Elephas maximus indicus: one gene and its partner. The protein of the gene in region 2 interacts with the protein of the main gene of each other region in a biochemical or structural test. Links are inferred from orthologs where the notes say so. Each region holds a gene or a part of one and is shown on either strand. Other genes may lie near its edges.

What was found. The genes of interacting proteins can lie anywhere in the genome.
Region 1: the proteins of CRHR1 (region 2) and MPDZ form a complex in vitro, tested with the Homo sapiens proteins (2 studies listed by BioGRID and IntAct, with this or other methods). The link is inferred for Elephas maximus indicus from reciprocal best matches to the Homo sapiens genes CRHR1 and MPDZ.

What each region holds. Positions count from the first base shown.
Region 1 is NC_064827.1:23,296,341-23,300,088, forward strand, and holds the start of MPDZ (multiple PDZ domain protein), read right to left. Parts: upstream 2,383-3,748; 5' UTR 2,323-2,382; coding exon 2,307-2,322; intron 1-2,306. UniProt on the Homo sapiens protein: Member of the NMDAR signaling complex that may play a role in control of AMPAR potentiation and synaptic plasticity in excitatory synapses. Promotes clustering of HT2RC at the cell surface.
Region 2 is NC_064837.1:52,548,054-52,551,801, reverse strand, and holds the start of CRHR1 (corticotropin-releasing factor receptor 1), read right to left. Parts: upstream 2,950-3,748; 5' UTR 2,910-2,949; coding exon 2,877-2,909; intron 1-2,876.

The DNA of each region.
Region 1 (3,748 bases), on a different chromosome or scaffold from region 2:
CCCTATGGTGCAGTCTTACCCTGCATACGTGGGGTCACCATGAGTCAGAATGGACTAAACGGTAACTGATTTGGCCACATGTTACTCTAAATATGTCCCTCACACCTTTAAGTCTCTTGTAAGAAAGTTTGTTTGAAAGCAGGGAACTTGGTTTAGCATCTGCCATATGCAAGTAGTTGTAAAGTTCGGAAACTAATTCAGTTGAAATGTACTGGAATTCTAACGTCACCTATCTCAGCTCTTTTATAAAATCTATATAAAGCCAAATGTTCTGTGATCTTGCAAATACTGACATTTTCCCTTTTTTAAATTTTGTATTCAAATATAAGGGAAATTAGAAATATAACTACCTCACCAATAAATTGGTATGGATAATAAAACCCAGTACCGTCGAGTCGATTCCGACTCATAGCGACCCTATAGGGCAGAGTAGAACTGCCCCACAGAGTTTCCAAGGGGCGCCTGGCAGTTTCGAACTGCCAACCCTTCGGTTAGCAGCTGTAGCACTTAAACACTACGCCACCAGGGTTTCCAGGTATGGATAATGTCACTGACACGGCACAATCTCCAAAATATAACAATTTCATATACTATAGGACAAAACATTCTGTAATGAGAATTTGCTTGGAAATACAGCACAATATACATATTGTTTGAAAAAAAACTATTTTTGAAAACTTTAAATGTCTTTCCCCAAAATTAAATAGCATATTAACATATGCATCAAACTAACGCAACCCAAATATCTATTAATCACCTTATGGATCAGGCCCAGGGTTCCACAAGTAAAGGTTTTGAATATGTGTGTCCCTAACAGTCCTAGCATCTTGTAGGCATGCTTTCTCCACAGTGAGTTTCCACCACAAACAATAGTTAAAAGCATCGCCCTAAAACATACACACACACACACACACTTATAAGTGAGACCAGATTTGTTTGAAAAAAAGAGGAGGGGGCTCTATTTAGATACATGTCCTGATAGATTTATAATAACAAGTGCATCTATTAAAATATCTGCCATATCACAGTAAGGGATAAGAGTGGGAATTATCACCAAAGACACTTTCCATAACATGAAATCTGGAGCTACGCAGAAATGGGGAAAACAAAGACACGTATTGATGTTAATGATGAGTTCTCATGCATGTAAATTAAAAGAAAAAAATATTTACTAATACACAAAATTTTAAAAGCCAAAAATGATAAAGATATACATAAGAATTTTATTCTGGGTCATATTTCCCACGGTATCTCAGGATGCAAATCTAATATTAATCCGCATGTCAATTTTGCGGAGGTGTCCAACTCAGTAACAGAATAAAGACTAGAAAGAAATGGTTTAAATAGTTTTATATTTGCCCTCTCCTTTCCACTTCAAGTAACTTTCCTCTGTGGACTAGTATTCTTTATGCTGTATGACTTCAGCATAAAACAAGTGATGAAGGAAATGTGTGTCCCTGCATTTTCATCGCCAGCATGGTATTGGGAACAGAGTCACAGTAACGGTCCCCATGATGACAAAGCCAGCTTCTTCTCCCTTCATTGCCATCTACTCTCACCCTACCCCTCAGCACTTCAGCTATCATGGTACCAGCCGTGACCGTCAAGTTGCCAGAGTGAAATCCATACATCCTGCCATAGTCATAGCTAGAGTTATCTGGAACAGGTGAGGGACTGAGGTGTCACATGATTTTACACACCTGATATACCTGTAACTAATTTCTCTAGAAATTAGTTCCTCTTAAACTAGACAGCAGTGTGGAAAAAAGATTAACACTTGAGCTTGGAAAATTTGGGTGTTTCAACCTAAATTGTCTCATGTAGAAAATAAACTGCCTTAAGTCTTCACTGAAGTTTGTCCACCTGGATGCAGCCTAAGTGACTGTTAGTGTTCTCTTTATCCATTAAAATCAAAAGGCCAGTAGTACTTCACCTGTCACAAACAAAGTAAAATTAAGACATAGGTAATGACCTTCTTCCAGAATTAAAAAATACTGCTGAACTATCTGGTGCTACCCAGGAACAAACTTTAACCAGAACTGTGTTTACATTAAACTTCATTAAAATCCATAACGGAATATCTCATACACTTTTAACTTTTGTTTATAAATGAGTTTTATAACACCTCCGATGAAATTGCCCAGATACAGGCATACACTGCCCAGTACAATGCTGGTGAATACAAACTTTTTTAAAACTAAGTTACTATAGATAGAATCCTGCTATGTAGAACATACCGTATTTCCAAAATCCCTATGGAATGTGTTTCAATTTTTACAAAAGTAGCAGGAAGGAATAGGTCTTACCTATGGTTTCCAACATTTTTTTCAAAGTTCAGTTATCTTCTTTGCGATGATTAAAAACAGCAACTAAAATGGACCACTGAGAATAAAAGAAATAAAGCAAAATTGTTATATTTATCAGAACTTTAAAATTTTATTCTAAAACTAAGTACTCTAAAAAGTACTTGATAACTACTGCAATCCTTTGACCATTAAAAATTTGTTGATTTAACTTTAGATGTTCTTTATAGGGGAAAAAAAAAGTTAATCATTTTAGGGCTTTTTCAAAATGATCTTATAATTATGAATAATACTTGCATAAAAAAGTACAAGGCATATAATCTTTTTTAAATAAGACGGTAGAAGTTTCCAAAGTATTTCCTTAAGAGCTTCTCAATATAGACTGCTATTATCTTGGATTCACTTTTAGAACCTTAACCATACAGTAAGGAGCTTACTGCTGCTTCAGAAATTTTGTGGATGAAAAGATCAAAAATGTAAAAAAAAAGACAATGTAATTCTGCTCTCAAATGCTCCCAGTCTAACTGGGGAGACACAGATAATAATTAGGAAAGAACTGTGACACTCAAGCACTGCATGAACCACTGGAAGATAACACACTAAATCAGGGAAGCGAGCCTTGGTGGCATAGAGGTTAAGAGCTTGGCTGCTAACCAAAAGGTCAGCAGTTCGAAACTACCAGATCATGGAAGAGAAACTGAGTAAAACAGAGTCCAGTGTTAGAGAAGAGGATTTTTCAAAATACCCCCCATGATTATAATATTCTCCTCTTTCCCATTCAAAAATTCTTCTCAGCTCCTACAAACCACACCAGTCTCATCTTTCTCTCTGACATTACTTAACTGAACTCTTTGAAGCATCAGATACTGATCTGCACTGGCAATGGTCGTACCGCTAAGTCCATCTTCCATCTTTGTGGTCCAACAGCTTTCCACACCTGTCTCCATATTAACACTTATCCTTTGCCTTACAGAAAACCGTGAGTCATCAGGAAGTCAGTCTGCCATTACTTCAACAGGAAGAAAAAGAACCTACCACCATATATCCCCATTCTTCATCTGGATGATGAGACAGGGAGAGAACTTCTCCAAAAAGGAACAAGTTACCCCACATTACATATTTAAAAGAGAATATATTTGGGAAAAGGGAAGTACGTAACATATATGAGCAGAGGCACAGAACTTCAATGTATCCATTAGCTCTGTGTAATAATACAGAACAGTATTTACTGACTTTCCTTATCCCAATTTAGAATACACTAATTAAAACATCAAATAGCCAAATGGCTCAACTATTGGCACTTGTTATAGAAAGTGCTTCGCCATCAAGTAAAGATGACTCTGGCTTAGAATTCAAATCTAAATAGCAGTGTGACCTTGACCAAGTGGTCTGCCATCTCAACCTGTTTTATAGATAACAAACTTCCTCACTGGGTATAGTGTGCT
Region 2 (3,748 bases):
GCTCCCTAACCCACATAGCTGTGCCTTCTCTGCCCCTCACAATCACTGGAACCACAATTTTGAGCCATACTTGGGTCTCCCTGTGGGGAGCTGCAGCTGGTGGGTAGATGACCCCAACCCTCCCCTGGGGGTCGAGAAAATATCTCACCTCTCTCTTCCCCCTCACTGACACTCATCTCTCTCAGCTCTTTCTCATCAAGCACACTCCAACACACACACACCTCTTCTTCACGCACACATATGCACTCATGCACATTCACAGCACTTCTTGCTCCCGCATTCACACACATGTACCCTCAGTACACACTCATACGCAGCTCTTCCCATACACACTCCCACTCACACATCTTTCACTCAGGTACACTCACACACACGCACACTGTCACTCATGCGTACACGCTCACACACACTCTCCCGCAGTACACTGTAACCGGTACAGTGTTTTTTAAAAAAAACAGGTGCTACTGGGTCGTTCCCATGTGTGTCAGAGTAGACCTGGTCTCCATTGGGTTTTCGACGGCTGATTTTTAGGAGGAAGGTCACCAGGTCTTTCTTCCAAAACACGTTCGGGTGGATGCGAGCCTCCAGGGACTCCGGTAAGGAGCTAGGCCCAGAGTGGATCCTTTCCCAAAACTGGCCGACAGAGCCAGACTTTGTTGGGGACAGAGCCGGATTCTGGATTTTCCATAACTTCCCTAGATTCACACTCACAAAGCAAACTGAGCTCTCATCTGGTGCAGGTCTAAAGTGAGACAGAAGTGGTTTAGAATGTTTTCTGGCAAAAGCTAACAAAACAAAGTCTTAGGGCTGGAGTTTGAGTTCTGACTCCATCAATTACTAGCTGTGTGGCTTCGGAGAGGTTACTTAGCCTCTCTTTACTTCAGTTTCTTCCTCTATAAAAATGGGGTTTTACTCCCTACCTCCTAGGGCTGTTATGCGGATAAAATGATAATATTTGCAATGCAGGTAGAACGTTGTCCTGCAACTTGCACATGCTACATAAATAAAAGAAAAAAAAAACCAAGCAAGTATTGAATTGAAGCCAGCATTAACCCTCCATTCACTCACTGCCCTGCATTGGGTCAGCATTGATTGAGCACCTACTGAGTTCATTAGACCAGACACAAAGGGCACAGACCCCGTTATCTGGTAAAAAAATAAAAAAAGAAAGAAGTACAACCTGATAATTATAAATAGAGATTTGAATACAGTTCTAAGAAAAGCCAGAGAAAGAACATTTACCTATTACCAAGTAAACTTGGGGCGGGGGGGGGGGGGGTCACAAAACAAAACCACTGGCTTTTGTTCCATCCCTTGAATCCATGTAAAAGATTGAATTCAGTCTGATTTGTGAATTTAGACCAAGGTTTGGTACACAGGAGCTTTTTGGAAAATGTTCCCATCGAATGCCATCCATTCATCCTCTCTGGTATTTTTCTTTCTACCTGTCTTGCCAGGTCTGGGTGATCACGCAGAAAATATTCCCTGGGTTCACCCCAGCCCTCAGCTAAAGGCGGGGGGGAGGGAAGGTATGGGTTCCATCTGACCAACCTTGTGTCATTTTTTTTAAACAACCACTGATAAAATATTTGGGCTGGGAAGAGGAAAGGAAAACCCTTAATAACTGGGAACGTCTCAGCTGCTGAGCCACAGCAATTTGTTTTAAAAGCTTGGTGGTTTAACTCAATGAAACCACTTTGTGAGCCGGTATACGCACAGTTGGTTTAATAACGGATGGAAAAATAAAATTCAATCAATCCGCACCCCTCCCCCAAATCCATTCCATTCTTTTGAATGAAATCGCTTTTAAATGCACCAAGCCTGGTTAACTGGTGTTGGCGGCTCAGAGGGTCCACACCGACCCTGCGGAGTCCCGAGATCCGCGGCAACGCGGTGAGCTGGCGAGCGCAGCGCTGGGCTCCCCGGCGATGGCCCGAGGCCCACCCATTCTCCAGCCCGCTGCTGCAGACGTGCCTGCACCCAGGGAGCCGAAACGCTTTGGGAAGCGCCCCGCGCGGGGAAGCGGCGGCTGTCACTAGTGGCGGGCCTGTCTGTCCCCCAGCCCATCGTCGGCTCCCACCGCCCGCGGGCAGGGCTCCGCCGCCCCGGAACTTCAGCCGGCAGACGCTAGGCGTGCGACCTGGCCACTTTCCTAAACTCCGGGGCCCGAAATCGCGTCGCCAGGCCCGGGGCAGGAACGAGCAGACGCGGCCGGCGGAGCAGCGCCGGGACCTGCCGGTGCAAAGGCTCGGAGAACAAGCGCTGCGCTCCCGGGTTGCCGCTCCCGGCCGGCCAGCAGCGGCGGAGGAGCTCGCCCCACCATTGGAGACACCGTCCCCTCCCCGGAGGCTGCGATATCCATCAAGGGCTCGGCGGAGGCGCGAGGGACATTAATCTCCTTGGGTTTGCCGCTTTCCGCAGAGCCGAAGGGGCAGGGAGGAGGTCCCAGGACTGGAGGCTGGGGCGTGCAGAGTAGGGGAGCCGATAAAAGGGTGCTAGGAACAGGGTGGGGACCCACCTCCAGAGCCTCCTATCCCATGGCCGCGCTCCGCATGGGCGGGATGGGACGTAGAAACGAGCTTCAGCCCCCACAGCTTGGAGCGAGTCTCCGCACCCAGCCATTCCCGCCGGTGGGCGGGCAACCTCCTCCGCCAGCATCCCGGCAGTGTCGCCACACGGTTTCTTTTTTCACCTGAGCTCCCCCACCCACCCAGCCCCGGCTCCGGTCCCGGGAGTTCGGTTGCTCCTCAGACCTCCGCTGCCCCGGACCCGGGCACCTCTCTGCCCCGCGCTCCCCGCATCCACCCCTGCCAGCCGCCCCGCGCCAGCCGGCGGCCGGGGGCGCCAGGCTCGAGGGCTGCCCTGCGCGCTCCTACCTTGACAAGCAGGAGCTGCGGGCGCCGTCCCATCCTCGGGCTCGCTCAGTCACGGTCCTGGATGCCTAGGTCCCTCGAACATCACAGAGGGGCCGGCGGGCGGTTGCTAGCTAGGGTGGCGCAGAGTGGGCGGCGGGGCTCCCAGGTCGCTGCCCCGCGCGGAGGTGCTTGTCGCCGCACTCCTCGGCCCCGCAGCTCGGCCCGGCCTGGCGGGCTCTGGCTGGGTCCTTCGCGGGGAAGTCCCGCGGCGGTTCCCCGACTCAGCCCCAGTCTGCAGCAGCTTATCGCCAGCTCCGAGCGCGCCTCGCCCCTGCCGCCTCCCCCTCGGTCCGCGCGGCTTCTCGCCTGGCTCCCCGCCCCCAGCCTCGCGCTTCCCCTCCCCTCTCTGTCCCCTCCCTTCCTCTTGGTCCCTCCTCCGCGCCTCGCCCCTCCGTTCCCGCCCCCTCCCTCCACCTCTGTCCACTGCCTTCCCTCGGCCTCCTCCTCGCGCCCTCCCTCGCTGACCCCTTTCCCTGGGCCCGGGTTTGCGGCAGTCCGCGGGACGCGCTGGCGGCGGTGGCGGCCACCGCAGCCCAGGGAGAAGCCGAGGATGGGGGGCGGGGGAAGTAGCAGCCTCCCGCCGCCCGTCTTATCTGAAATCGGGCCCGGGAAGTCCAACGGAATTTGGGAAGGGTTAGGGGGCTCCGAAGGGTCTATGAGAGTGAGGCTATTGGAAGCTGGAGAATCGGACGGCCCAGCAGAGTCGAGCCGCCGCGGAGATGGGGTGAAGCTGGGAACTGCGTTTGGGCAGTTCTCGCTTGCGCTGGCAAGGAGAGGGTCCCCGCCGCCCCCACTCCAGCCAGCGCCTGACGCCAGGGCCCGACCCCCAGAGC